Linked DNA regions of Rhinolophus ferrumequinum. The protein of the gene in region 1 purifies or fractionates together with the protein of each later gene. This does not show direct contact. Links are inferred from orthologs where the notes say so. Each region holds a gene or a part of one and is shown in the gene's direction. Other genes may lie near its edges.

The links.
Region 2: the proteins of MAVS (region 1) and TRIM25 purify together in Homo sapiens (affinity purification with western blotting; 3 studies listed by BioGRID and IntAct, with this or other methods). This does not show direct contact. The link is inferred for Rhinolophus ferrumequinum from reciprocal best matches to the Homo sapiens genes MAVS and TRIM25.
Region 3: the proteins of MAVS (region 1) and EIF2AK2 purify together in Homo sapiens (affinity purification with western blotting; 3 studies listed by BioGRID and IntAct, with this or other methods). This does not show direct contact. The link is inferred for Rhinolophus ferrumequinum from reciprocal best matches to the Homo sapiens genes MAVS and EIF2AK2.
Region 4: the proteins of MAVS (region 1) and IFIH1 purify together in Homo sapiens (affinity purification with western blotting; 12 studies listed by BioGRID and IntAct, with this or other methods). This does not show direct contact. The link is inferred for Rhinolophus ferrumequinum from reciprocal best matches to the Homo sapiens genes MAVS and IFIH1.

The regions. Positions count from the first base shown.
Region 1 is NC_046306.1:25,769,731-25,777,628, forward strand, and holds the start of MAVS (mitochondrial antiviral-signaling protein), read left to right. Parts: upstream 1-4,887; 5' UTR 4,888-4,986; intron 4,987-7,014; exon of another isoform or gene 7,015-7,261; intron 7,262-7,898.
Region 2 is NC_046304.1:28,458,927-28,466,791, forward strand, and holds the start of TRIM25 (E3 ubiquitin/ISG15 ligase TRIM25), read left to right. Parts: upstream 1-4,860; 5' UTR 4,861-4,950; coding exon 4,951-5,544; intron 5,545-7,865.
Region 3 is NC_046296.1:46,183,238-46,191,203, forward strand, and holds the start of EIF2AK2 (interferon-induced, double-stranded RNA-activated protein kinase), read left to right. Parts: upstream 1-4,952; 5' UTR 4,953-5,208; intron 5,209-7,966.
Region 4 is NC_046291.1:60,413,671-60,421,528, forward strand, and holds the start of IFIH1 (interferon-induced helicase C domain-containing protein 1), read left to right. Parts: upstream 1-4,842; 5' UTR 4,843-5,137; coding exon 5,138-5,590; intron 5,591-7,858.

The DNA.
Region 1 (7,898 bases):
AGAGGTCTGAAGGGAGTCAGATATGAGAACATATCCCTTCGTGGGGCCCTCAGGCACTATCTTTGAGTCTGACTTTGCTCTCTGGAGGGAAATGTGAGCTGGCGATTGCTGAGTCATCACATGTGAACCACATGAGCCACAGCCCTCTTTGAGCACTGGCCTGGAGACACTGGCCACCTGGGGATGAACTTTACCAGGGAGGCGGTCTCCAAAGCCCTCACCCGGGGGTGCAGGTGGCCTGGCATATAGATTGCTCTCCAGACTCGCCCTTCCATTAATAAATGGACAATGATCAGTGAATTCTACTCATGAAATAGGGTGGGATGCAATCCCAGAAAATTAATACTGATAGAATATTATTAACTAATCCAAAAGCCTTAGTAAGGCTCATTTGTCCCACTGATGTCTTCTTCTGTTTCAGAGTCCAACACAGGATCCCACACTGCTTTCAATTGTTATACCTTTTTATTCTCCTTTAATCTAGGATAGCTCCTCAGTCTTTCCTTGTCTTTTATGGCCTTGACATTATAGATCAGCGCTATCCAATACAACTTTTTTTATTTTACTGCAAAGAAAATTTTATATATCACTAGTCATGAATTTTTGTCATTAGTTATTACATAAATGTGCCATTATCCAAGTGGCATGACCATTTTATGTCCACGATTCACTTCTGTGTTCACAAAATTTTCATGATTTATGTAAGTACACATCTATCAGTGAAGATTTAACATTGAGATGCAATCTAGCATCCATAATATCTGATGTTTTTCAGATAGCAATGTAGAAGAGATGTATTTTTAATCACTTTTTCATTTGAGTCACCTTATGTAAAAAAACTAATTTAGATGTTCTAAGTCTCTAACGGAGGTTTTCCAATGCACTCATAGGAATGGTTACAGACAGTTAAGATTTTCAGAAACAACTTTCATGTCACATCCTGTTGTAATTTCTGTACCATTTTGTTTTCCAGATGCTTTCCTTGGCATGCAAAAGGGGCCGAATGAGATGAATGTTTTGCTTGACTTCTTTAATGTCCTGAACTTTCTGTAGTTCTTTATTTTTCTTCAACCTGTTCATTACAAATTTCACTTGGCATTTCTGTTTGCGCTCTTCATTGTATCAATAGTTTTATTCCACAACTTTCGCTGGTACTTGACAGGTTCATTTCTGCTTTACAGAATGCTTTAGTCCACCTGAACGTGTGAGGATTGTGCTTCTTCTTCTTCTTCTTCTTTTTTAAAGATTTTATTGGGGAAGGGGAACAGGACTTTATTGGGGAACAGTGTGTACTTCCAGGACTTTTTTTCCAAGTCAAGTTATTGTCCTTTCAATCTTAGTTGTGGAGGGTGTCGTTCAGCTTCAAATTGTTGTCCTTTCAGTCTTAGTTGGGGAGGGTGCAGCTCAGCTCCAGGTCCAGTTGCTGTTGCTAGTTGCAGGGGGCGCAGCCCACTATCCCTTGCAGGAGTTGAACTGGCAACCTTGTGGTTGAGAGCCCACTGGCCCATGTGGGAATTGAACTGGCAGACTTCAGAGTTAGACGCATGGAGCTCCAACTGCCTGAGCCACCGGGCCAGCCCAGATTGTGCTTCTTTTTAAAGTTTTTATGACACTTGGATTTACAGAATCTGAACACCTTGCAATCCTTGTGGACAAACATCAGGCAGTGGCCGGGATATATGGGTCCCTACCAGAAATAACATGTCTCCATACTCATGTTGAACATGCCAGGGGGACCCACCACCCAAATGCCAAGCTTGAAAGGCCAATACAACTTTTTTTTTTAAAAAAAAGCTCTCCAAAAGAACTTTCTGCCATGATAGAAATGCTCTGCATCTGTGCTGTCCAATATGATAGCCAGTAGCTACATGAAAAATGACATTTAAAATGTGGCTAGTGGGGTTGAAGAACTGAATCTTATATTCTACTTAATTAAAATAATAGTCACATGTGGTAGATGGCTGCTGCATTGGACAGGACAGCTGTTGAATGCCCCTCATTTTGAGTTTGTTTGATGTTTCCTCTTGACTATGAGTTTTAGCAGGTATACCATAGATGTGAGGTTGTGCCCTCCTTTGGTTTCCTGATAAAGGTGACAGGAAACCAAGTAGGTCAGAATTTTTATTGTGGCAAAATATACATAAAATTTACAATTTTAACCATTTCAAGTGTACAGTTCTGTGGCATTAAGTACATTTGTTGTGCATTCATTACCACCGTCCATCCACAGAACTTTTTCATTGTCCTCAACTGAAACTCTACCCGTTCGATACCAATTCTCTATTCTCCATTGCAACCACCATTCTACTTTCTATCTTTATGAATTTGACTACTCTAGGTACCTCATATACTCGTAAGTAGAATCATTTAGTATTTTTCCTTTTGTGACTGGCTTATTTCACTTAGCATAATGTCTTCAAAGTTCATCCGTGTTATAGCATGTGTTTGAATTTCCTTCCCTTTTAAGGGCTGAATGATATTCCATTGTATGTATATAGCATATTTTGTTTATCCTTTCATTCATTGATAGACATTTGGGTTGCTTCTACCTTTTGACTGTTGTGAATATGCTACTATGCACATGAATGTACAAATATCTGTTCCAGTCTCTGCTTTCAGTTCTTTGGGTATGTATCCAGGAGTGGAATTGCTGGATCGGATGTAGTTCTAGTTCTAATTTTTTAAGGAACCACCATATTGTTTTCCACAGCAGTCTCACCATTTTGCATTCCCACCAGCAATGTACAAGGGTTCCAATTTCTCCACATCCTTGCCAAACACTTGTTATTTTCTGGTTGTTTTAATAATAGCCACCCCAATGGTTGATACCTATAGACTGAATGTTTTTGTCCCCCGAACCCCACAATTCATATATTGAAACCTAATCCCCAACGTAGTGGTATTTAGAGGTGGGGGTCTTTGGGAGGTGATTAGGTCATAAGGGTGAAGCCTTTATCAGTGGAATTAGTGCTCTTCTAAAGACCCCAGAGAGCTACCTTGCTTCTTCTGCCATGTGAGGATTATGTCTATGAACCAGAAAGTGGGCCCTTATCAGACACCAAATCCGTCAGCATCTTGATCTTGGACTTCCCAACTTTCCAGAACTCAGAAATAAATGTTTGTTGATTAAGCCACCCAGTCTATGGATTTTTGTTATAGCAGCTCAAATGGACTAAGACAGTATCTCATTGTGTTTTTGAGGAAGCTGTATTTTTTTTTTTTAATGCCCTATGAAGTCCAACAAAAACAGGGTGGCAACTACATTTAGAAGCAATTCACTGCACTTCCAACACTCTTCCTGCAAGAATCAGATATGAGGTCACTGGATTTGGGGTGGGTAGCAGGCAGGAGTAATTCTTGAACCAATTAATGTTAACGCTGTCTTGGCTAAACAAGGCAGATGTGGCTTTATTACAGTTAGTTGAGTTCAGGTGTAATATTAACATTTTGTAAATACTGAATGTTGTGAAATATCCACAAGGTTTCCAAGTAATCAATTATCATCTGAAAAAGCATCCCTCCTACAATTCAGTTTGGGAGCTCTGGCTTTGGAGACAGGCATGTATTCAGGCATTTGCATGTGATCTAGGCCAAACCTCTTAACCTCTCAGATGTCTTTCCTTTTAAAGTTGCAGTAACAATCTTAAGTGTACAGCTGATGCATTTTTACGTATGCACAAGCCCATGTACCCAACACTCATATCAAGACACAGGATATTTCCATCCCACCGGAAGGCTCCCTTGTACCCCACCCCTCAACATCCCTAGAGGTAGCTAGTGATAATGATTTCTATTTATGTAGATGAGTTTTGCCTGTTTTCAACCCTTACCTTGTGACTTGGAACAGACAGCATGAACTTTCTGTGCTTGGCTTGGTTAGCCATGGTGCCCATTCATACTGGTGAGATTCAGGCAAGTTGTGTGTATCAATAGCTTATTCTTTTTTACTGTTGTATATTATTCCATGGTGTGAGCACACCAGAGTTTGTCTCTCCATTCTCCTGCTGATGGACCCTTGGGTTGTTTCCAGAGTGTGCCTATTGTGAATAAAGTTACTATGAACATTATCTATTGTGAGTGTTTCTAGGTGGATGTATAGGTAGGAGTGGTTGCTGAGTGAGACGGCTGGCATGTTTAAACTTTAGTAAGAATAGCCAAACCTTTCCCCAAAGCTTTAAGTCTCTCTTTAAAACAGAAAAAATAAACTTCTATCTCATTATTATGAGAGCATTTAAAGAGCCCTAAGATAGGAACTTGAAGCCTGTACCTGGAACACAGGGGGCCCTCAGTAATTGCCAGCTTCTGCCCCTGTGAGTGTCCTGTGCCCCATCAGAGGAAGGACAGGCGGCTGGCAAGCACTGCGGGAAGTCACCCGCCCCTTACCTTTGGGTGGAGAGGCCTTTCTCACACAGCACTCATGGCCCACACTGAGGGAGCCAGGTAAGCAGCCTTGGTACCTACGCCCTGCACTCGGATCCTGCTTTCTCAGGCCCAGCACGCGCGTCGCCTGGCTGGGCACTCATCTGGCTGGGCACTCACCTGGCTGGGCACGTTTGTTGAGTACTGTGTGCTAGACCCTGGGCTTCCAAGAGCAAACCACATAAAGCCTCTCCCCCCTAAAATCACTGGGCAGGAGGAGGGATTGCTTTGTGTAGAAAGTTTGGGAACTCAACAGGGCACAGACTCGGAGGTCTGGAGCCCACTTGGTTTTTAACTAGACCCTGGACTTCCCCTGAAAGCTGCCTGAGACGAACAGGGAAAGACAATAATTTGCTCCTTTGCTCCCCTGCAGGAACGTAGGTCCGCCCGGAGCGTCCTGGCCTCTAAATCTAGGCCTAGTGCCACCCGCAGTCTCCCAGCGGCCTGCGCGGACCGCGAAGCCCGGCCCCCGCCGTGCGACCAATGGCCCCGCCCTGGCGGGGGAGGGTTCTGGCGGCCGGTGGCAGTCGGGGCTGTCCGCAGGTCGCCGCGTCGTGGCTACCCGAGGTAAGATCGCAGCCCACGCGCCTGGTCCTCTGGGCTCAGGGCGTACAGACGCCTTTCGGGGAGGTGGCCCGCGGCGTCAGGAGCCAAATGGGACTTGGAATCCGCCAGAGTTCAGGAGGTCCGGGGCGCGCGGGAGGCCGGGGAGGGGACAGGGTGCGCGGGGCTCGGGAAGAGAGAGTCCTAAGGCACTTGGAGTTTGGGACAGCGAGGGCACCCAGGGGGTCGGGAAGTGGGGGGCAAGGAGCGTCTGCTTGGGCTGCGGGGGAAGGTTGGAAAGGAAGGAAACGGGCGCCGGCCGCTGAGGCCCTCCCGCTGCCCTGCTCAGGCCCAGGGTGACCCCCGGGCAAGGCCTAGCTCTAGTGCGCCAACCTCCTGTGGCCTTGGCCGTGCCTCGGGGTGGAGGTTACCGCCCTCCCCTAGGTTTTGACAGTTTTCGGTGGTGACACCTGCTCAGAAGAACAGCCTCCCTGTCCTCCGTGGACCTCGGTCTATGGGGCTGTGAGGCCTCGCCTTTCCCGCGTGGGTGGATATTCATCAAGAGCACTCAGACCCCTGGGACAGTCGGGTCGGAAACTCCTCGCCGAGTGGATCCGGAACCTTCGCTGCCCATCTCTGAGATCGGAAAGAGGTGCCAGGAAAACATTGAAAAAAACAACAACAAACCCCAAAATCCCAAACGACATTCCCCGTATAGATGCTGTGGAGCCTCAAAAACATCTGGAAGGAGAGTCAGCGACCTGAGAACCGCGCTGCTGTGGAGGGCACGGTTCGGTTCAGGACTAAATGTTGCATCCTCCCAGGTGCACCCTCACCCAGTGACCCCCCTCACTCAGATGGTGACCTTGGCCCTTTCCTGAACTTGAAGGCAGGGGTTGTTTGAGTTTCACTTGCTGCAGGGGCTTCTATGACCTGCAAAGTGTATGGTGAGCTGCAGTGAGACATCAAGTCCTGGGTTCAAATCCTGTCAGGGCCACTGGTCAGCTGTGCACCTTGGCATCACTTCTCTCATGAATTTGTGGCAAGGATTAAATGAGAGAAACTTATTTAATAAGTTTCTGCCTATAGTGGATCCTCAATAAATGTGAACAACTATGGGCTTCTTTTCTTTTTGGTGGGATCATATCATAACCCATTGCCCCCCAAACTCTGTGCCTTAAGGGCTGAGGCTGGGATGCAGAAAAATGTTATCACCTGACTCTCTCCTGATGCCTCCCTGGATGCCATGGGAGGGAAGGAGAAAAGGGTCTTTAGCTACCACAGTTATTCTTTGCTCATCTCCTGAAATCTCCCAGGAACCCCGGCCCTCCCTCCCTAATCCTCTTGACCTCTATCATTAGCACTTGTCCCAGTAGGAATGTAGCATCTGGTGGTTGGCAAAGCAAGTCATGCAACTTGAAGCTGTGAAGCCAGGAGACAGGACTGCTGCCCGGTTTCCCATTTGGCAAGAGACTGGCGGCCTCAGCAGCTTTTGGGCATTCTGCAGCGCTGTCTCCTAGAGGTCTCACTCAAGCCTGACCCCTCGTTTCTACTCTAGCCTGGCCCTCTCTGTGCCCCCTTCCCTCCCTGAAAACCCACTTGGACATTCAATAGCATTTCAAGCTTCACTTATTCAAAATGGAGCTCTGGAGTTCCCTGTGCACCTCTGCTCCTCCCCTGGATTCTCTGACTGGCTAAATAGCACCATCCATCCACCCAGCGCCCAAAGAGTCATCCTTGATTTTTCTCCTTTCCTCACCTCCCAAACCCACAAAACACCAGGAATCCAACCACCTCTCTCTCTCCACCACTGGTTACCACCCCAGCCGTACATTTGTCTGTGCCCTGCTGTGGCCTCCTGACTTGTTTCCTTGTTTCTATCCTGGCGTCTCCATAGTCCAAGGTCCTCACAATCACCAGAGAGGTCTTTAACATAGATCCTCTCCCTCCCCTCCCTGTTCAGAACCCTCCAAATGAAACCCAACACCCTTTCCTGTAACACTCTTTGTAACAGCTCCTCCCAACTTTCTTGATCTCCACCCCTCCCCCTAGCTTTCTAAACCTGGACCACAGCGACCTGCTTTCTATTCTTCAGACGCGCTGAGACCTGCTTTCTATTCTTCAGACACGCTGAGCTGGTTTCCACTTTAGGACTTCTCACTAGTGCCTCTGCCTGAAACACCGAACGAACGGCACAACTCAAATGCAGCCAATTCAGGAAGTCTTCCCTGACCATCCCAGTGCAAGCAGCACGCCCTTCTCCAGGGCTTCTGTTTCGTTACCCCGCTTTGTTTTCTTGGTAATGTTTATTACTCTCTGGGATTCTTATTTATGTATGTGTTTACTGATTTGTTATCTGTCCCACCCCAGTAGAATATAAACTGGATGATGGCAGAAATCTCATTTCTCTTATTCCCTGCAGCTCTCCCCAGAGGGGAGGCAAATAAACAACACACAAACAAATGCATGTACTTGCAAATTGTAAGTGCTCCATAAGCAACTGGCGGTACTTGCTTGTATTTGAGGCGCTTATAAATTTCAAGCTCATCAGGCCGAACTACTGTATTGTCAAAACAAGCTCCCTGACCCATTGTAGGGGTGAGGACAAGCCTGGAAAAGACGGGTAACTTGCCCCAGGTCAATAGTGAGTTCAGGACAGTGGAACTCAGCCTCCTACCCTAAGAACGTGTATGTAGCAAACTGCTTTCATGGTGGCCCTGCAGTCGTGTTCTGGAAAGAATCTGATCCTGAATCCTGAAGACCTCAGTTCTTTGCTCTTGCACTAACAAGCAAGCCCCCTTTATTTCTTAATACTTCATTTCCTTCACCATTAAAGTAGGATGGATCCTGTTATTATGTTGGGCTTCTTTTTTTTCCTAGTGTACCTCAAAGAAGCAGCACTTCTAAGTGGAGTCTTCTTGCTGTGAGTGGCTAGG
Region 2 (7,865 bases), on another chromosome or scaffold:
ATAACAAAGTACCACAAACCGGGTGACATAAAACAAGTACAATTTATTCTCTCGGAGTTCCAGAGGGTAGAAGTCTGAAGTCAAGTGTCAGTAGTACCCTGCTCCCTCTGGAACCCGTAGGAGGGACTCCTTTCTTGCCTCCTAGCTTATGATGCTTTCCCAGCCACCTTTGGTGCTGGCTTACAGCGCCAGCACTTCAATCTCTGCCTCCATCATCCCATGGTGTTATCACCTCATGTGTGTTTGTCTTCACATGGTATTTTCCTAATTCATAGTGAATTAGGTACCACCTTAATGAGCCCATCTTAATTGATTACATCTGCAAAGGCTCTATTTCCAAGTAAGATCACATTCACAGATACCAGGGGTTAGGACATCAACATATATTTTGGGGGGGAATACAATTCAACCCATATACTAACTAAGAACAAAGCTTCACAATACATGAAGAAAAGAACGGACAAATACAAAGTGAGAAATAGACAATTAGTATATTGAAGTTATTAACAGCTTCCGGCAAAAATTGGTAGAACAACTAGACAAAACAATTGGGAGGGATACAGAAGTTCTGAACCTTGATATAATTGACATTTATACATTCAACAATTTAACACACACTTTTTTTTTCAAGTATACTTGGAATGCTCTCTAAGATGGACCAAATGTCCATCATAAAACAAGTCATAAAATAAGTCTCAACATATTTCAAAAGAGAAACAGCTTACGTAATAGTGCTGACTAAAATGGAGTTGAATTAGAAATCAATAACAATAAGATACCCAGGAAAGCTCCAGATATTTGGAAATGAAGCCATATCCTTACAAGTAGCTAATGTATCAAAGAAGAAATTAGAAAATATTTTGAATGAAATGGTAATGAAAACACACAAATTAAAACTTGTAGAATATAACTAAAGCAGTGTTTAAAAGGAAATTTATAGTTTTAAGCCCCTATATTAGAAAAGGAGGAAGTTTAACAATAATGATCTAATAATCCAACTTAATAATCTTGAAAACGTGAGCAAATTAAACCAAAAGTAAATGGAAGGAAATAATAGTTAAGAGAAGAAATTAATGAAGAAAAAGAGCAGACAAATGACAGAAAATTAAAGCCAAAAGTTGGTTCTTTGAAAAAAATTAATAAAATTAATAATCTATTAGATGGATTAATCAAGAAAAAAAGAAAGAAAACACGTTACTTACATCAGGAATGAAAAAGGCGTTACTATAGATTCTACTAACATTAAAAGAACAACATGGTATATGATTTCACGTACATGTGGAATCTAAAAAACAATAAAATGAGCTAACAAAACAAAACAGAAACAGACTCATAGATAGAGCAAACAAACTTATGGTTGCCAGATGGGAGGGGTATGGGAGATACGTGAAAAAGACAGAGGTTAAGAAGTACAAGCTGCCAGTTATAAAACTAGTCACAGGGATGTAATAACGTACAGAAGGGACTATAGTTAACAATATTGTAATAAATATGTATGGTGACAGATGGTTACTAGAGTTATCGTGGTTATCACTCCGTAAGGTATATAAATATCTAATCACTATGTTGTACACCTGAAACTAATATAATTTTGTATGTAAATTGTAATTAAAAATTATTCAAAAATGATTACAGGAAGAAAAAAAAGACCTCTCATGTTGATGAATTTTCAATTTTCACCAGGAAATTTATTGATAATGTCTTTTTTAGTTGTTATTTTTACAGATATAATAATATGATATGATAAAAGGCTATCCTGGGGGGAGCAGGGGAAAGAGTAATATTATGGTAGAGTAAGGACCTCTGAAAATTTTGCCTCCGTAAAAGAAAACTAACAAAAATTGTCAGGATCAACTTTTTCAGACCTGTGGGAATTAGCGAAGACCTTACAACAATTCAGGGAATGCTTATTCAAGAAAAGTGGCTGTGTGCTCGCTTCCGCAGTACAGATACTAAAATTGGAATGATACAGAGAAGATTAGCATGGCCCCTGTGCAAGGATGACACACAAATTCGTGAAGCATTCCATATTTTTCTGACCCCTCCCCGCCAAACCAATAAAGCATAAAGCATAAAAAAGAAAGGAAGAAAAGAAGGAAGGAAGCAAGAGAGTGAGGGAGGGAGGGAGGGAGGGAAAGAGGAAAGAAGGAAGGAAGGAAAAAAGGAAGGAAGGAAGGAAGGAAGAAAGAAAGAGTGGCTGAATCTTGGTAGGAACAGCAAACTGTGGTGTTTTAACTTGTCCCATTCCCATTACTCCACTTCCAGCTCCCGGTAGTCTTGAAAACCAATAGTCTGCAAACAACTCTGAGACCTTAGAAAATACCGGGAAACTTATTGGTTCTATGCATTCAAGGAAATCTCTATTCAGTTGTTAGCTGATCGCTAGGCTAATGGAGCAGAGACTTTAGTAGCAACATATGACAATAAACACAGACTTCAGGGAATTAAGTCAGAAAAGTCACTAAACAAATAACAACAATGAACAGCCCAACAACAAACAGTGGGGAGGGGGGAATCTGGTATCCACAGTGCCACATTGTATAATTTTAAATATCCAGTTTTGAACAAAAAAAATATGAAATATACAAAGAAAGAAGAAAGAATGGCCCATATGAGAAAAAAAAAACACAGAATTTATCCTTGAGGAAGTACAGATGTTGGACTTACAGACAAAAACTTTAAATCAGCTATTTAAATATGTTCAAAGAACCTTAGGAAACCATGTCTGAAGAAATAAAGGTGAGTATGAGAATGATGTCTCTCTAAATAGAGAATATCAGTAAGGAGGTAATGTAGTATTATTTTTAAAAAGAACCAAATGAAAATTCTGGAGTTGAAATGTATAATGACTAAAATAAAAAGTTCACTGGAGGGGCTCAGCAGCAGATTTGAGCAGTGCGAAGAAAGAACTGGTGGACCTGCTTATGATCTACTGAGATGATGTAGCCTATAAAACAGAAAGGGAAAAGAAGAAAGAAAGGGAAGAAAGAAAAATGAACAGAGCCTCAGAGACCTGTGGGACACCAACAAGCATACCAATAATGGGAGTTCCTAAAGAAGAGGAGAGAGAGGGAAGGCAGAAAGAATATTTGAAGAAAGAACAAAGGAATACAAAAGTAAGAAGGCAGGAACGGAGAGATAGAAGAACAGAAAAGATGTAAGACATAAAAATATAAGGAAATGGCAGATGTAAGTCCTACCTTATTGGTAATGTAATGTAAATGGCTTAAATGTTCCAATTAAAAGGCAGAGATTGGTAGAATGCATAGAAAACATGATCCAACTATATCCTCTCTGTAAGAGCCACACTTTAGATTCAAAGACACAAAAAGGTTGAAAGTAAAAGGATGGAAAAAAGAGATGCCAGGCAAATAGTAACCAATAACAAGATAGACCATATTCAGGTAATAAAAAAAGTTTCCATAAATTTTAAAAGATTTAAATAACACAAAGTATATGCTTTAATCATAATGGAATGAATTTAGCATAGTATGTCTTACGACATATCTACTGCATAGAATTTGAAAAACATAAAGTATGCCCCTCCTGGTCATTTTTTCTAAACTTCTCCTCCAGGAAAGAGAATTCCACAAACATTCTGGCATGAGTCACCAGGCCACCTCACCCACAAGAGGTAGGTCATAGGGGATTTTACGGTATTTATTTACTGAAAGCTGCTCTATGGCTCCTCTTGAGAGGCAGCATTTTATAGTAGAAAATGTTTGCCTTCTGGAATCAGATAGCCTGGATGCCAATATCCATTGTATTAGGCAAGTTATTTAGTTTCTCTAAGCTTCAGTTTTCTCATCTGTGACATGAGGTAATTATACCTACCTTAAAGATTTGTGAGAATTAAATGAGATACTATACCTAAATCTTAATTTCCTACCCACCTCATCTTCTGTCTTCCTCCTCATGCAAACAACAATGCAATATGAAAGAGAACAAATGGGGTCAAGGGGCCTGGAGGAATAGAAATAGGGGAACCAGGAATTGTAATCCCAGTCCTAAATTGTGTAAAATACATGACCCTCATCTATAAAATGGGTATGATTTCTGTCTTGTGGGAGTTATAAGGACTAGAAGCGATTATAAAGATTATAAGAGGGAACATATCTGACTTGTCTAGCACACAGTAGGTGTCCCATAAGTGGTAGTTATTACTTTTAGCAGTAGTCTAAGTCATTTATTTACCTTTTTCTCATTTTTGCGGCTCATCCTCTCCCCAGTGCAAACTCCAGCTAACTCCTCCGCAAACGCAATCTTTCTCTTTGCCCCCCACCACGTCTCTTGAACACTTCTCACCTCCTGTACACTGACTTTTCCTGCACTCTGACCAGAGCGGGAGAAACAGAGGTAAAAGAATGGAAGGAAATAAATCTAAATAAACAATTTTGAGAAAAATGTTTAGGTTCCAACATTACTTTTTTGGCTGCGTACGTGTGTGAGAGAAAAACCTTTGTGAAACTGGGATGTCTCCAAATCCTACTAGTAAAGTCCTGATAAGACAGTCTTGCCGCCGGGGCGGAGGGGACTCCTCGGGTCTGGATGAGTTCTCCTAAGGAAGGAATGCGGGGCAGGCGCGTTTGTGCAGAAGCCGGACTGCATTTCGGCTCTGACTCCCCGGATCTGGGGTTCTCCACCCGACACGTCGGTTTTCTCCTCCGCAGGTGGCCCTAAGAACCCCGCGGTGGCTGTGAGAATAACTTGAACCTCCGAAGACTGCTAGTCCGAGACTTGGGACTACAGCCACCACCCGGTCGCCAGAGAAGGAACCCCGCGCGCCGGCTCCGCCCCCTGCCCGTCTCCCCGGGCCCCCACGTGATTTCCTGAAAGGCCGAGAGACCGCCCTCCCGCCGCTCAGTTTCGTTTTCTTGGTGGCTTTGGGCTCTTGTGCTACAGTCGCGGCCGTCGTTTCCGCGCGTCCCGTCCGGTCCTCCAAGGAGCGCTATGGCGGAGCTGTCCCTGGCCGACGAGCTGACGTGCTCCATCTGCTTGGAGCCCTTCAGGGAGCCGGTCACCACTCCTTGCGGCCACAACTTCTGCGGGTCGTGCCTGGACCAGACGTGGGCCGACCATGGCGCGCCGTATAGGTGTCCTCAGTGCCGTGCCGCGTACCAGGTGCGGCCGCAGCTCCGCAAGAACACTGTGCTGTGCACCGTGGTGGATCAGTTCCTGCAGGCCGAACTGGCCCGCGAAGCGATCGCCGACGGCTGGACGCCACCCGCTCGCGCCACCGCCCCCAGCCCCACCGACCAGGTGGCCTGTGACCACTGCCTGAAGGAGGCCGCGGTCAAGACATGCCTTGTGTGCATGGCCTCTTTCTGCCAGGAGCACCTGCGGCCACACCTCGACAGCCCGGCCTTCCGGGACCACCTGCTGCAGCCGCCGGTTCACGACCTGTTACACCGCAAGTGCCCTCAGCACAACCGGCTCCGGGAATTCTTCTGCCCTGAGCACAGCGAGTGCATTTGCCATATCTGCCTGGTGGAGCACAAGACCTGCTCGCCTGTACCCCTGAGTCAGGCCAGCGCTGACCTGGAGGTAGGGGGTGGCGGCGGAGGGCGCAGAGGGGCAGCTTGGGCCTGCTGGGTTGTGCAGAGGACGCCGCCGTGCGCATCTCTGTCTCCCCTGGATCACTTGGATGGGGGTGGGGATGGGGCTGGGCCTTGCTGGGCCTGAGATCCGGGACAGAAGACACAGGTGATGGTGCTTACTTTAAGTCTAGGGCTTGGCCTGATGGTGTTAATAAAGGGTTTAGAATGCCAAATATGAGCCCTGGAGGTTACCTCTGTTCCCTCATTAAATCCTGGCAGCACCAGGAGGTGGGTGTCATTAGTTCCATTTTTCAGTTAGGGAAAGCAGTTCGGGAGAGGTTACTTAGCCTGAGGAACCCAGTAGATGGCCAAGTAGGCATTGGGACCCAGCTGGTTTGACTACACAGTTTGCCGTTTCTCCCCAGGAACCAGCTTCATACCCAAGTCTACAGAGTCCAGAGCATAAGACATTCCTGGAGGATTGAGGTCATGTGAGCAAGAGCAGTTGGTGAGCCAGAGAGTTCTAGTGAGTAGGGAGGATCCCTACGGGTGGGTTGTGTCTCAGGAATTCTTGGATATGACCCACAGGAAGAGCCAGTGCTCTTGCACCATAGTGCCCTCCATCCTGGCTGTGTGACTTTGAGCACAGGATTTGGCCCCTGGGCCTGAGTCCTTGTCAGTAATGTGAGGAGGTGGGACCTGGTGGATTCCTAAAGGGCCTTACAGGTCTGTGGTCATTTTGGAGAATCATAACTTCTCCCGGTGGAGTTAAGGCAGAGGCTTGAAAAGGTATCACCTTTTGTTTTATCAGTCTAAGCTCCAAAGCGCGCCCCGATTTCTTTTGATTCTCACAGCACTGTCAGCTGTCCTCATATTGTCAAAGCAGACCTGAGACCTGGGGGAAGTTTGCCGTGGCATCCAGGACTGGGGTGCAGGCCTTGCTTCCATCCTGCCACAGCCCCTCTCTGGCTGGGCCTGCTTCTCCCAGTCTGAGCTGGGATCCTCTGGACTTCTTCCCTGAGTCTCAGAAGCCCGACCTCCAGGCACTGCCTGAGAATTGCCCATCTGAGGCCCGGCCATCTGGGTCTCCGACTGTCATAGGAAAGAACCTGCCTAGCCTTTGGAGCCAGGAGGCCTTCTTGGCCCCATACCAGCTGTGGTTTAGGGTCAGTCACTGCAGTTCTGAGCCTCAGCTTCCTCATCTGTAAAATGGGATTAGTACAGCTCCCATTTTAGGGACGCTCCGGAGAGAGGAGCTATGTGGGACGTGCTTTGTAGGCTGGCCCCAGTGTCAGGCAGAGTGGCTGGCTGACACAGGCTCCAGGCAGAGCTGGATGTTGAGACCTGGGTTTGAATTCTGGCTCTGCTTCCTAGCTGGGAAATCCAGAAAAGGGGGACAATAATAGTACCTATCTCCGAAGGTGATTGGGAGGATTAAATGAGCAACCTATAAACTGCGTTTTATGGTGAAGGCTCATTGCTGTTACTCCTCCCAGGGGAGAGGGAGACCTTAACTCGCTGGGCAGTGTCAGGCTGCCCAGATCTTTTTTGCCTCAGGGTGCCTGGGCCTGCCCATGAAGACTAGGGCAGCCTGGCTCCTGCTGAAAGGCCTTTCTAAGAAGTTCTTACCGGTGGAGGCAGAAGGCAAGTAGAGGCAGGAGGCCCCTTGTCAGCCTGTCTCAGAGCCACAGTTCTCTCAGCCTCCAGGGCCTGGAGCTGGATTCTACGCCCAGATTGTGTGCTGAACACACTTGGCTTTTTAATCCTTGTAACAGGCCTTTCCCCTCCACCTCCCCTCTTTCGCCATTGTCCTGGCTGCGTCCTTTCACCATGTTCCTTTTCCAGCCCTGCTGCTGCTTACTCCTGGTGGCAGAGCCAGCCCCAGCTGGGCATTGCCCCAGCCTTGGGTGGCTGGCTGGTCTCCATCAATAGTGCCTCCCGTGTGGAGGACCCAAGTCCCCAGTCTGTGAAGGGATCCTCAGAACTTCAAAAAGGTCTCTAACCTTGATTAGGGGATTGTTGTGGCTATCGAAGTCCTTGGGCCACTTTCCTTTTGTCTGGAGTTGCGTGGACCCCCTTCTTCCATCAGGGGACTGTCATACATGTTTGATTAATGGTAAATAAAATCTTTTAAAATACAGAATTTAGGAGTTCACGGTTAAGAGTGGCTCTCGGAGGTGAAACATTTGGCAGCCCCCTGGTGTTCTGAGGTTTCTTCCAGCTCTTGAGATCTGCGAGGCCAGACCTGCCTGGGTCTGGCCTTCAGCCTTTGGTCCAGTTTATATTGGCCTCTATTAGAGGCCACGTCAAAGGGCATTGTCACAGAGG
Region 3 (7,966 bases), on another chromosome or scaffold:
TATAAGACACTGATGAAAAAAACTAAAGCAAGACTCAAATAGATGGAAGATGTTTCACGTTCATGGATTGGAAGAATTAATATTGGACAAACAACAGTGATAATTGTGACGTACGCTTATCATTTTAATTTAGAAAATATGCTCTGGCTAGGACTTCCAGTAGTATGTTGAGTTAAAAAAGCTTTTCCTCTAACATTAGGAAAAAGACAAGGATGCTTCCTCTACACTCCTGAGCAGGGGCTCTTGCTTGTCAGCTTGTCCTACCACAGAAGGATGGCCTTATCCTCGTTTCCATCTTCCAAATCTTGCACCCACTGCTCATCAGTCAGTGGCAGAACTCAAATTATATCCAGAACTTTAACTCCATAGAAATCTGGAAAATGTAGTTTTTACCCTCTATATGTTATAATCCAGGATATGAGGAGACATAGAAGAGAATAAGAATGGAAACTAAATAAAAATTAATATCTAGTACAGTCCACTCCTTCTACCAATAATCTTTCAAGCAAACAAAACTACATTCCCACCTAATACAGTCATTCCCTTATTCAAATGAAAGCATGCATACCCTATCCCTTAAATCTTTATACCCATTGCTATGCGATGTTCTTTCCTCTTCTGTTTTAGTCACGATCCCACCTTAAGATACTCTAATGTAAAGACTAAGTTATAAAATTAACCACCACCAGCAAACCTCATATAAAAGGAAAGAGGAAAGCCATTAAAAGAAGTTCATGAATACATACAAAAACAAAACAAGGAAAAAAACATGCACCGCTTCTATGGTGCTTCATTCTGAAACTGGTCATGAGACCATCATTGGTGTTTATAATTTCCTCTTCATTGGTTCCCTTTGCCCTTAGAAGTCTCCCCAACTACATAGTAGGGCGATATAAATCAACAATCCTGAAAGAGCTGAGACCTTAACAGTCCTGCCTGTGTTGGACAGCTTTAGACTTCCATCAACATTTATCATTGAACATGTAATTACCAGAAAGAACCTCAAAGAAACCTCTGGGTTGAAGACATACTCATCCTTGACTCCACTGCGTGGCTGTATCACTATTTGCCCGGCGTAATTCACATCAATCAGCCCAGTTGCTAACTTCCTTATTTTTGTGATGACTTGATGGCATGATGAACCTGTAAAATCCAGATGCACTCTCAAGTTCCTGCGCAAGGAACTATGTGTCTCCTAGTGGAGAACAGCCCAATGTCATAGGAGCAAGAAAGCACTTACTTTGCAAGTGTGTGATTAGGTTTAATTGTGGGAGACAAGCTTTTCACTTCTACCGTTTCCTGGTCTCCTGTATTCTGGCCGTGAAAGAAACAGCAACTTGGTTTAGAGCATATATTGTACTTGAAGGACTGTACACTCAGCTTGCTGTGTTGTCACCTACCTGGGGCTGTAACTGAGTCTTCAGTACTCCATCCCACAGTCTTCTAAGGCCAGCTGCTTTTTGGTGGTGATGATCATAATAAAACCATTGATCCCATGGTAGTCAGTGTCTGCCTTCTTTTTCTGCAAAATGGGTTCCTTAGTGAGGTATAACATGATGGTGAACAAGATATTCAGGATGTCCAACAATGATGGTGTTGGCAGAAGCACTGCAAGGAAGGAAAAGCAAATCCATAGCTGGAATACATGTTTACTCCACAGAGGGCAAATCCCTGCCCACTCCATGATGGAAAGGTCGCCACGTAACCAGTCTGCCACAAAGTGACTGGCTGGTCTTCCTTGGAGTATGAGAATCCACACTGGGGGCTCAGGGTTGGTCTGTGTTGTTGACACGCTAGGTACTCAGCAGCCTGGATGGGAATTCCCTGTTGATGAACTCACATGTATCATCCAATTCCTGCTGCCATTGCCTCTTCATTCATTTTGAAAAAACACTGGGGTAGCTGGGAAAGCTGACATCCATAGAAGTCGTCTTGCCCACTTGCTTCTCAATAGCCTCCTCAGAAGTGCGTGCCTGTGGAGGTGAACATTCACAAGAGAACCCAATATGCTCCTAACTCTGTGTCTGTTCTAAGTGGTTCACCCACATCATTTCCCCCAGACCTCCTTATCATCGACCCTCTGATCTTGTTCCTTCCAAATGTCTGAATATCCAGCTAAATGGTTAGCCATTGGTTCTGTCCAAGCCACTGGCTTTCTCTTTTTCCAAGTGACAACTAAAGGTACTGCTCAAAATTCTGCCCACTGGGAAGATTTCCTTTCTCCCACTATCCTTTAGGACCACCTCCCAGCGGGGCTATTGTAATACCTCAATCCACTTCTGATTAATGGCAGTGTGTTGTGCTTCATTCGAATATTTCTTTCTCAATCATCTGGCCACAGGAAACTCCCCATGAGTTCAGAGATTGGGTTGATAGAGCAGGAGTGATAGAGCCTTAGATAGCTGCTCGTGTAACATGCCTGTGGACTAGCATCTTTTTTGAGTCCTAAGAATGTCGGGACCAGTTTATCACCACTGAAGATCTTTGGTTATTGAAACTTTCTGATTACTGCTCTGACCCTGATGCCCTTTCTTTGGGGTTTAAGTGTTGCCACATGGCCTTTGCTACTCTGGGAGCCATAGTACACATTGAAATCAGGGAGCATCTCCCATCAACATTCCCCACCAGCAGTGGTCACCATTCATTACAGAATTTTCAAGGATGCTGATGCTCCCCCTCTCCAATATATTTCTCAATGCCTGGTGAAAGAGGATCCTTTGGATTTTCTTGGGGACCATGTTTAGGGAGTGAATGAATAGGTTGCATATGATTAATCTATTCCAATGTTCCTCATTCCCTACATACTTTTTTTTTATTCATTTCAGGTGTACAAAACAATATAATACTTAGACATTTATATCCCTCACAAAGTGATAACCCCCCTCCTTTTGATTTCTTCCTCTGTATTACTTGACATCACAGTTTTACTTAATGTGTGCCAACCCTGAGGCCAGATTGTAATAAACCAACTGAACAAACCATTAGAGCCATTCCCCGCTGCTGGAGCCAGCACATTGAGTGCATAATCTAAATTATATTTATTTTGCCTTGTTACCTTTAGAACCATTTCCATGCATATTTCCTGGGTTTCTGCTGGGGAAAAAATTAGTAAAATCTTGCAACTCTTTTATTGTGTAAACTACCTCCTCTGGATCAGATCTTGTCGGTATCCATTGGTGGCATCCTAGCATCTGATTCTAGTTCTAGGAGTGAAGGAATGAGGTAGGATGGGACATTTGGAGGTGACTACTTCAGGATCTTCAAGCTACGTAGGCTGTACCATCCTTAGCAAACAAAGGTGGAAGGACTGTGGACACTCAACAGAATTTGGGAGGGCAGTGGTACTTGGACTCATTCAAATCCATCCAAGTTCCCAGGGCCTCATTCTTTCCCAATCAATGCCCTTAATGTTCACATAAAAGACTTGGTGAGGCTACATCTTAAACTTATATTTTAAAATTCTGCTACCTGCGGCATCAGGCTCTGCACCTGATCTTTACAACATCTGCCCTGAAGCTCCATGTAAGAGGTTCTTCTGGGGCAATCATAAAAGTTTGTGTCCTCTGACGGTACTTGAGCTTATCATTTTCTTTTCTAGGCTCTCTTGGGCAGTTCCCGGGCTTCAAAATGTCAGGAAACGTGTCATTGCTATTGCCATTGCTTCTGCCACAGCCACCCCACTGCCTGAGGCTGGCAAATGGATTCCTGCAAACACCCACCACTGCTGGAGCTTTTTGCTGCCTGGAAATGCCACAGAAAGATGGCTCTGCCTCCCATCTACTCGTATATTCCAAACACCCCACAAGTGCTTCACATTTGGGAGACTTAAATCATGTCCAAGACCTAAGCTACAAGGAAAACGTAGTTTTTAGCCATTGATACCCTGCAAAATGAGGGGATGTAGAAGAGAAGTGGAAAAGGACTCCTGGAGCCAATGCGCAGTATTTAATGTATACTTGAGGTCCAACTTAGGACCACCTCTCTCTTTTACTCTAGCTAAGGTGTTAAGGGTACAGACTCCTGCTTCTAATTTTAGCTCCCTCTGCTTACTAGCTGTGTTATTTAACTTCTCTGTGCCTCAGACCTAAGTTTCATCATCTGTGAAATGGGCACAGCAATGGCACCTACCTTGCAGTGTTGTTGTAAAGTAAGTCCTCAGCACTCTTTAGTCACCGTGTCAATGAATCAGTATTACTCTGGGAGTGTGTCATAGTCCATTAGGTGAGTAGGATTTCTTATAAATCGAGGACTATTGATGAGGGCTTTGGTAGTAAACTCCATGAGGTCCCTTAAGGAGCAGCAGGTGGCTCACCTAACTGCTGGGCCGGTGCTTGGTAGGTACAGCGGCTGGCAAGTATCTGTTGAATGAGCGGTTGGATGGGTGCAAACAGACAGAAGGAAGATTATTCCCCTGGCCAATTCATCCCCAGCCTTGTATGTGACCTGGCAGCAGTGTGGAAAGGAGACCGAGTGCTTTGGTGTTTAGGGGCCTGACCTTGAACTGAATGCTAGCTTTGCCACTTTCCAGCGGCAAGACCCTGGGCGAGTTAATTTACTCAGTTTCTTCTATTGTAAGATAAGGCTGATACTATCCACCCTGACCCCCACCCCCAAATGTTTGCGTGTTAGAGGAAATGGGATGTTTGATCCTGGAGCCTAGTTCAGCGAGTGCCTGGCGCGCCACGGGCGCTCGGAGACTTCGGTGTCCTCCCCACCTCCTACGGATCCTTACCTGTACCCGGTCCTGACAGCCCCAGAAGCCCGGGTGGGGATACAAGGGTCTGGACGCGCGCCCAGGAGCAGGAGCGGCACGTGCGTGCCTGCCGCGCGGACTCCCAATGGAAACGTCAGTCTCCAGATCCCGGATCCAGTAAGGACTAAAACGGGAGGGGGCCGGGCGGCCGCAGCGGAAGGCGGAGTCCGCAGAGAAAACGAAACTGAGACCGAGGTGTCCAGATCGGACAGTGCCTCGGGAGACAGTGACGGCGCGAAGTAAACTGGGCGGCGGGGCGCCGGGCAGCGCGGGAGGCGGCGAGGGGCGGAGAGCACAGGGGTGCAGAGGCGCGCGCGCAGCCCGCGTCCTCCGTCGGCTGCGAGGCCCCTGACTCCTGGCTCAGGCCCCCTGGCGAGGTGCGGGAACCTTTTCGGACCCGGGCAGCGTGCTGGGAACTGAAATCCATTTTCTTCCGGTGAACAGTTTTTATCACAGTAAGTAACGAATAGCCCAGGACGGCGTTGGGGGGCGAGGGAATCGAGTGGAAAATAGATCGACCCTATGACTTGACAGAGAGATGGGAAATATGCAGCCCTGAATTACCTATAGATTGGCTCTGTAATCCCTGGCCCGAAATCTCTTGCCTAGACAGTTACACTTGTTTCCTAATTGCCTGGCTTCCCCCTCCCCAACCCCTTTCCTGCCCCCCTCCCTTCCCATTTCGACCCCTTACACCCTCTTCCCCCTCCCCGCCCCCCCCCCCATACTTCTCAACACCGTCTCTGGGCTCACAGGCAAGTCCCCTTATTCCCTCCATTCGGACCGCACTGCTGTTCTTGACACGCAGCCAAGCATACACCCCTGCCTCTGGGTCTTTGCACTGCCAGTTTCTTCTTCCTGGAAAGCTCTTTCTTCCCTCAGATACCTGCATAGGCCCATCCCTCAGTGTCCCCTGCATTTCTTCAGTGTCACTCTGTCAAAGCAGCTTTCCCTGAACAACCTGCTTATAAGAGAAACCCCACCCGCCCCTCCCTGTCACCCTTATTTTACTTCAGTTTTCAATATATCGCTCTGATTTTTTTTTATGGCTTTGTCCGTGTTCCTCCACTGGTAAGTTCACCGGAGCAGGGTTTTGTTCACTGGTATAACCCCAGCACTCATTAAATAGTTGTTTAATGAATGGTAATTCATAAATTCTCTTTTGAATTCCAGAATAATGAGACTTCCTAATACCTGTGATTTCTTTAGTACTAAAAATGCCTTGCCAGTTAGAAGCTAAAATATACACTCTCTGCTGTCATTTAGGAACTTAGAATCTTGGGCAGACTGTGCTCTTTTTCTTCAGTTTGCTTATTTGAACCTGAAGATCCACAACACGTGATCTCTGGTTTATTCGTTTAATTCATCAGATACTGCTTGAATGCATGTTGCATGCCAACCATTGTGCAGGCCCTGGAGGGGGCTAGGCCGGCAGACGCTCACGTCTGCCCTAAGGGGAATGCCAAAGTATCTTCTGGGCAAGAGTAAAATGGACACATAACCGTTTGTTAGAGATTATTGTGGTGATTTCTTTTAGGGAAATGGTAACTTAGTATTAAGACAACTATGTATTAAAAGTAGTTAAAAAGAAACCTATTTCTTTTTCCCCAAAACTTGTAAGTACTTTTCAAACATGCCAGTTCAGTACCTTATTAGTTTACACGTATATTTCACTTAAAGTCAAACTGGCTTGTCATTCTGCTGATCAGCAGTTAAGAGGTAACAGTGCTGAGAATGTAAAAGCATTTGATAGGACTTCTGGTTAAGTAATTGCTAAGGACTCTTCCATAACTGCTGTTCTGAGATCTGTGACCCCCCCTCCAATTTGATGTATGGTCTCATGGTTGTGACTAAACTAAATGAGACTTTGGTTTCTGAAAATAATGGTACATCTACAGACCCTTATCTGAAACCCTTGGGCCAGGTGTGTTCTGGTCTTCAGAGATTTTGGATTTTAGAAAGGCAATACAGCATACACCCTGTCTATTACGTAATGCTCTCAGCAGGATTTGGGGGTGACACTCTAGGTATAATGAAACATATTTCTGCAGTGAAATGTATAAATAGGCACCAAAGTATGATACAGACACTCAATTGATCATGCCAGTTTAGGTTTAGATAAGGGGCTACAAATCTACCAAAAACAAAACAAATGAAAACAAAGAAAACCTTAGTTTTTCAGTGCTTTTTGGATTTTGGAATTGCAGACCAGGAGCACCATTTAGTGGGGCCCACCAGTGTGCCAGATGCTTTTCGTCTGATTTATTCCTCACAACAACCTGTGAATCAGGTGTTTTTTAGGTCATGAATCAAAGACTCAGAGAGATGTCTAGCCCAGATCTCTGTGGCTCTAACGCCTAACTCTCTTCACCGCCCTCAGCACTGACGAGAAGGTATTGCCTTTGCTCAGATCAGGGCACTTCTAGCACCTCGCTTCCAGCCACCACCATTGCTCACCACCGTTGTTCACCCAAGCCACTGCCACAGCCTCTGCTTGGTCTCCCAACTTCTACTCATGCTCTGCTTCCCCTTTCCATACCCAGCATTCTCCGTACTCTCCGTAGCATCGGAGGGGTCATTTGAAACATCAATCCAGTCACATCACCCCTCTTCTTAAAATCCTCCAATAGCTTCCTAGTGGAGTAACATCCATACCCTATAAGGGCTGTGTGCTGTGGCACCTGCCCACCTCTCTGACTCATTTCCTACCCTTAACCCCTCATTCACGGTGCAGCAGTCCCCTTGGCCTTATTGTTATCCCTCCAAAGTCTGCACTGGCTCCTGCTCCAGGGTTTCCTCTGCCTGAGCTACTCCTCCCCCATATATTGGTATGATGGGCTTTCTCATCATTCAGGCTTGATTTAAATATTCCCTCCTAAGGAGGCTATTCCCTCACCACTGTATCTAAAACCACCTCCATCATATTTCTGCCCCCACCTGCCAACTCACTCTCTAAGATTCCATATCTCTGTTTAATTTCATCATAGCACTTCTCGGTCATCTGGCCATCATAATACCCACTCCTGTTATTTATTTCTGCACATGTTCTGTCTTGTTTATATCTGTATACTCAGTATCAGAACAGTCCCTGACATTTGATAAGCACTTACTGAATGAATGAAGAAAAGATGCACAGAAAACAACAGGCGAAGAAAAGGGAGAAGATGAGAAGGTTTAAAGGGGAGTACTTAATTTTAATTAATCATTCTCTCA
Region 4 (7,858 bases), on another chromosome or scaffold:
GAAAAATGGATATTTGGAAATTTTCCACTGATACCAGATTTTTTTATTTTCTTTTTGCCAAAATTGTTTATGTAGAAAAAGCTTTTCAATGTTCATATGTAAAATCAGAACTTTATAACTGAATTGGTGGAAGTAATTAAGAAATGAGTATCATGATCTAGTAAACTTAGCCAGAATTTCCTTTTCTATTTTGTACCTACTTATGTTTTTGAGATATAAACCTATAACAGTATCCTTTTAATAAACTTTTCTGCTAAATCAGCATATTGACGTCTGTTTCTTGCAAAAGGAGATCCTGTGTAAAACCTCAGTTACATGGCTGGTTACTATATAGTGTTTAAGTATACAACTAATTTATTTCCTCTCTAAAATGTGCATTCTTTGAGAGCTAGCACCATCTCTTATTCATTGTTTGCTAAGAATGCTTGTAGATACTTATAGGGCAAATATAATACGCCAGGCCTGGTGCTAAGGGTTTTACTGTCCATCCTTCGAACAACCTTATGACATGGTACTGCTATCATTTTCATTTTACACCTGAGAAATCTGGCGTGGTTTCCCTAAGATCACACAGAATTGATAGGTAGTGCTGACATGTGAACCCGCCATCCTGAGCTCAGAGTCTCTGTGCTTAACCACAGCTCTGTACTGCTAGGTTAGGGGCATCTAACTTTCAATTACACAGAGTAGGCTCTTTATTGACACAATTAGAAAAGAAATGAAGAAACAACAATAATTCTAGAATGATTTCCTCACTAAACTAAGTTTATTGTCATTTTCTTTGGAAAAGGCATTACTGCTATGTGTGGCCATTAAATTGTAGTTCTGGTTTATCAAAGCAGTGGCAGCTATGATTATCACTACTTCTTAATTGTAGAAAACTCAGATGAAAAGTTGGATAACAGTGGGAATCTGTTATCTAATATATCCCTGACTTAATAGTTAAAGAAGAAAATGCTAAAAGGTGGCTTTTGAAACTGATAGAGACTGAAATGTTTCTTTTGGTTTAAAAAGACTAGGCAGGTCTAGAAAGAAGACAAAGAGCAGCAAGATTTCCTACCTCAAAGGAGAAAGGAAACAGAAAGCTATGTTTAGAAAACAATGAGAAGGATGAAAATGAAAGCTATTAGGGGAAACTTAACAGAGGAAAATGTCTATTCAAACAAAAAGAAGAAAATAAACTAAATTACAATGGAAAAATATAGGTAAAGAAAAAAAAAATACATTTTGAGAGATGGTGGCTTGGCTTTTGTTTCCTCAACCTCCTTTCTCCAGAAGGGGTCATATCAAGATTATGGCAGATTCCTAAGAAGAGGTTTGTTTCTGTTTTCCCTCATTTATTCCCACCTATGCTTAGTCCTCATCACTGAACCTCATCCAGTCGTGATTCCCACATGAGAGTAAACATGAATTGTGATTGATGGTAATGGTGAGGGTTGGGGAAGGGCATCTATTTGGAAAGTCAACCAGTAAAACTATAATGTGCATTATTATCTGGATCTCACAATTCCTATTTAACATAGTTCTAAACTCCTAGCCAGAGCAATGAGGCAAGAGAAAGGATAGAGGTGAGAGAGAAGAGAGAGAGAGAGAGAGAGAGAGAGAGAGAGACAGAGAGAGAGAGAGAAAGGAAGGAATCAGCATTAGTAAGGGAGAAGTAAAGCTGTCTCTATTTGCAGATGACATGATTTTATATGTAGAAAATCATAAAGACTACACACACACACACACACACACACACACACAAATGTTAGATCTAATCAACAACAAAGTTTCAGGATACAAAATCAACATACAAAAATCAGTAGTGTTTCTATACACTAACAGCCAATTACCTGAAAGTAAAATAAAAAAAAAGTAAAAGGAAAATGATCCCTTTTACAATAGCATCAAAAATAATAAAATACTTAGGAATAGATCTTACCATTATTCTCATAGTATTTATCTTCACCTGGCAACTGTATTTTTCTAATTATTATTTATTATCTGTCTCCCCACTCACATTAGAATGTGAGCTGCATAAAAGTAGAAACTTTGTTCTAGTTTACTAACTGTACCTAGAGCAGTGCTGGTGACATAGTAGTTATTTAGTAAATATTTTTATTAGTTTCAGGTGTACCAAGCAATGTAACAGTTAGACATTTACATCCCTCATAAAGTGATAACCACCACCCCCATCTACTACCCCTCTGACATCCTATATAGCTGTTACAGTACCATTGACTATCTTCCCTATGCTGTACTCCACATCCAGTGGCTATATATACATATACCAGTGGTGCCAAAAAAAAAGGTATAAAAAAGTGTATACACATGACTTGTATCCATCTTTGGTTATCGGTATATGTTGAATATTACAATTTTAGTACAGTTTTTTTTTCCTTTTCTAAATGGTGTATACTTTTTTTGGCTATATATATATATATTTAATTATAGTTTACAGTCAATATTACGTATTCTACTTCAGCTTCAGATGTATAGCATATTGGTCAGGCATCTACACAGTCTACTTAATAAATATTTTTTAAATGACTGAATAAATAAATGATCTGAATACAAATATGTAATCTTCTACTTTTGATCCTCTCATCAGGGCAGCAATTTCATGGTGTTAAGAAGATGACATTACTTTCCCATATTTAATCAGCAATCCCTTCTTATCCCCCAGTGTTTGAAAGTGAAGGACAAAAAGATGGGTACAGAACGTCTTTTGTTTGTTAGTTAGTCTTTGGTTTAACATACTGAATGATACCTGCTGGCACATGGGGAAGGAAGGGGACTTTCTTGTAATAGGCCCAAAACATATTTTTGTAGAATCAATAACTAAAATCAATAATTTTACTACTTCTGTAGAAACATCTAATGTGATTATCTTCTACCTAGGTACAAGGTCAAATCCCAAAATTAAGTAAAGATACAGTAATGCTTTATGAAGAAACAGAAAAGAACATTATAAATCAGGCCCACCTGTAAGGCCAAGGTTTTATCTCACTTCAGCAGATTTTACTTTGCATTTTAGGTTAAGCCAGCAGCTAGACGCAAGGCAACTAAAAATGCCATTCAGGTGGGAAATCATCAAGAGTCTACTGTTTGTACTGTAGTGGTTACTGTGTAAATATTTTCTTCCTTCAAGAAATTTACAGTCCTTTAAGGAAGAAAAAGGCTTAGCTATATCATATCGAGAATAAACTTGCTATAAAGTGCTCACTTGGATATTCTGTATACTTCTGGTAAACACAAAGACTGTACTTCTTTTATACCATCCAAAGCATGGGCAGGTTTCCTGGCCTCTCCAAAAATCATTGCATGTGTGTTGCTAACAAATTACTTTTCTTAAACATATCTTTTTGATAGCCTAAATGACCCCTCCATCCTCAGCATAATTCTGGACCATGAGGTTCTCCTTATGAAGCATATATACTACCACGCGTAGTCACCCAGGGCTGCAGAATGCCTGAACAGCAACATGAAGGACTCATGTTTATGTGGCTTCTGTACTAAAATGAAGCTGCCATTTTGCAGTGTGGGTGTCTTTTTTTCCTTCATGACATAGACAAATGTTGATGTTTACTACAAGTTGGTACATTAGTTGCTAATTAAGTTCCTAGCTGCTTCAGCCAAAACTCGCTGTATTGAATCCAAGAAAAGAATGGCAGCTATGTCAAAAATAAGTTGTTGGGGATTTTGTTTTGTTTTATTAAAGAAAAGTTGTATATTAAAGAATATGGGAAATTGACATGCTGGGAGATAGGAAACCTTCCATGTTGGCTTCCTCCTAAATCGAGTTGGTGGTTCAAGTCCCTCTGCGTCTGTCACCAGGCTCTGGTCAAAGCCAAATCAATACTACAATCTACAGAGGAGGCATAAAAGTTCACTGTTTATCATGACTCTTTTTCATAACCACCCAGATATTCCCCAAGGAAAGTTTTATTTCTTGGGGACCCACAGGAGGTCAGGTTTGCACCTAGAAAGGGTGCAGAGGTGTCATGCGGCATCTCTGGTCCTGCTCCCTGCCTAAGAACGCAGGATATGGTGAGGCCAAAAAGGAACACCAATGGAGCCACAGATAGGAGAGTCATACCACCATATTCTTGCTGGAGGCTGGGTTGGAAACTGGAAGCAAGAGCCGTGATCTGCCATCCGCTTCTCTGACAACCAACCAACCCCTTGCTAACTGCAATCTGCGCTTGGTAGCTCAGCCATGGCGGTTATATCAGTGGCCAATGGCTAACTGGTTACAGCTGATGACCAACCATCCACAGCTGATGGCCACCTACTACCCAAGCCAGCGCCTTTCCGCGTGAGGCCGAGAGCCTGGAAAGTGCATTCTGGGACTCTGTCCCCACAAGAGGTCACTTCATCCTGGGGTTCTGCAGTTACACCTCTCTGGAAATGTCTCTTTAGCTTCTCTACACCTGTCCCTTGCAATCTTACACCCTGGCGGTGGCATCTGTTTCTCTTCACCTCCCTGCGGGGAATTTCTGAATTACGTTCTTTCAAGCTCTCCCCATTTTAGCTGACAAGGGTTGATGCAAAACAGCTGTGGAAAGGAAGTCTGATTTTTGAGGCAGAACTCTGCAAGGAGGACAACATGCCCGCAGGAGGTGCATTGCTGGAGCATCGGTGTCTTACTTGGTGGGGGAGAGATTTCACTTTCCTTTTCTATTTCGCACTTGCCAGCACCGATCACGGGGCGGCTCCTCCTCGCGGAAAGAGCAACGCCCCCGCCCGGCGGCTTACATTTGGAAAGTCCTGAAGAGGAGAATCGAAACAGAAAACAGTCAGGAAAACTATAAGAACTGACTGGGGGGAAACTGGACTCAAAGTTCCCACCGGAGTGCGCAGCGCCGGAGAGCACTGCAGAGAGGCGCCGGGCCGCGCCGGCCGCCGGCGACTGCCTGCCTCGGAGTCCCTTGTCCGGCGCGCCCTGCCCACCTGCCCACCTGCCAGGGGCGATCGCACGGCTGAGTGAGCCGGTCTGGGGGTCCTGAAGGCAACCCCGTTGCTGTCAGGTACATCCCCGAAGACCCTGCTACCCAAGGCAGCAGACAGGGTTATACACATCGTACCTGGTCAGCAGAGAACAGCAACCTGACCATCTACTTGGGAGAACCTCTCCCTTTTCTGAGAAGGAAAGATGTCGAAGGGGTATTCCTCAGACAAGAGTTTCCGATATCTCATCTCATGCTTCCGGGCCAGAGTGAAAATGTATATCCAGGTGGGGCCTGTGCTGGACTACCTGGACTTTCTGTCTGCAGAGGAGAAGGAGAAGATTGAGAGGACGGCCTTCACCCACGGGGAAATTCACGGAGCTGACTTGCTCCTCAGCACTTTGGAGAAGGGGGTCTGGCCCCTGGGCTGGACTAGGGTATTTGTGGAAGCCCTCCAGCGAACAGGAAGCCCTTTAGCCGCCCGCTACATGAATCCTGAGCTCACAGACTTGCCCTCTCCATCCTATGAGAACACTCACGATGAGTGTCTCCAACTGCTGAACCTTTTACAGCCCACCCTGGTGGACAAGCTTCTAGTTAGAGATGTCTTGGATAAATGTGTGGCGGTGGACCTGTTGACAGTTGAAGACAGAAATCGGGTAAGTGTCAGTTCAGATGGAACTTGGCTTTTAGTTAGACTTTTGCAACTAGGTCCTGGTCGCTCATTTGCCTCATTCCAAACGTTCTTTGATGTCTTTGAGTAAATCTGGTTCCCTCCTTCTTTGAGAGGAGAATATAATATCTAGTCATCTAAAACATAAGTTTGAAAATTTAAACACAAAATATCTGTTTTTCTAATCCTTTCACTGCGTTAATTGATTTCGTGTTTTTTTCAAAATGTGTCAGAAATCCACAAAAAAAAAAGTTGATATTTTTACTATTTTATGCATTTAATAATAACAATTTGAGCTGCTTTGTATATAAATAACATTATTTTTATGTATAAAAATTTCAGGTATATTCATTTGGATATATCCGACCATCGTGTGGCAAAAGAGGAGTGGCAAACTGAAATAAGCTAAAGAGGAGTTAATTCAAGAATAATAAATGTATGCCGATAGATAACATTTATTGAACACTCACAATGTGCACTTAGTATCATTTGCAAAATGTATCAACAGTTCATGCTGGAAATACTCCATTGAGGTGGTTAATGTTATTAACTCCATTTTACAGATGAGAAAACTGAGGCAGGTTGAATAACTTCCCCAGGGCCGCCTAGGAAGACAGTGGCAGAGATATGGGGTTAGGTCTTGATGGTGTGGAATTTTATGTCTTATTTAATACACTTCCACAGAACAGGGACCAGCAAACCATGACGCATGGACTAAATCCAGCCTGCTGCTGGTTATTGCAGGCTCAAAAGCTAAGTAGAGTTTTTAGATTAAAAAAGTTTCAGTGTTCATAAAGTTTTATTGGAACACAGCCATGCTCATTCATTTACATATTAGGACTGCTTTTGTACTTCAAGAGTAGTTGGACAGATACTATATTGCCCACAAAACCTAAAATATTTATTATCTGGCCTTTAGAGAAAAAAAAATTGCCAATCGCCAAGCTATATTATACATTATGCCATTTAATCTTGGTCTAAATAGGGAAATTACATATAGCATGTTATTTTCTCTCAAGTTCTTCAACATTCTCTGCAAATCAAAAGTTGGAGATAATTCATTGAAAAGTATGTCTACTAGTTGCAGTTTTTCTTATTAGTGATCAAGTAGTGGATTTTTTAGGTGGCATTTTGACAGGGTGAATTTTACAGGTAACTTTGCACTTAATGTAATGTTTTATTGTTATTGTTTTTCAATGATTGGGGACATACTGTGAAGTATAAAAATGGTGACTTATTTGAATCTGACTTATTCCAGTTTGTAAGCCAAATATCTTAGCATGAAAGGCATGTAGGCAAACAAACCCATGACTAAAAGTCAAACGCTTTGTCTAACATGCAATGATTTTGACATTTTCTTTCTTTCTAATTGTTGGTATCCTCACTACAAATGATTCTAGATTTAGTTTTGTGTTCAGTGATCACCCAAAGAAACCTATTTAATTTATTTGTTTATTCATTATTGGGTTTAAATTACAAAGTTTTGGGCCTTGGACTCATATCAACCTATGATGTGACTTAGTCTTTAGTGACTAAAGTTAATGCTCCTTTGTAGATTTGACAGCTGTAGGCTTGTCCAAAGACCTGGGCATGCATCTAATTTTGATGGCTGGTTTTCCCAACAAGTAGATTACTTTACACTGTTGTCTGTAGCGTTTATGTAGTTTTGTGTATTGAGAACCAGCTAGAACGCATTATAGTAGTCCAGCTGGATATGACAAATGTGTACATCACTGTGGCAGAATCTTAATTTGGAAGACAGTATGCAGCCTTCAAGCCAGCTGGAGATGGAAGATGGCATTTCCAGCCACAGTAGCTGTTAGGAAGTCCAGAAGCAACAGAGTCCAGTAACACCACAAAGCTGTTTATGTTTGGTGGGTATGCTGTCCCGATTGCCAGCAAAACAGCACTTCTCCTTATTTACTCTAAATACTTCTGCCTATCAGCATCACTTTTGTCTTGCCTGGATTGAATTTCCGCCAGCTAGATTTTATCCAAGTTCTTGATTCTGGCAAGCTTGGAGGCAGCTAGCAGTAATGCAAAGGAGTTGACACACAGAATATTTCGAGTAAAGGGACATTTGTGTACTGGTAGCAGTTAAGGCCAATGCAATCCAAACTATCCCCCAGCTTCATATTTCAAAGAAGGCTCTGAAAGATGGAAGAGCTATGTGTTTGAGACTCTATAAAGAGGAATAGTGTCTCTGTGAGATTCTGGAATGATTTTCGTACCTAGAGCAGTACTGGTGATACAT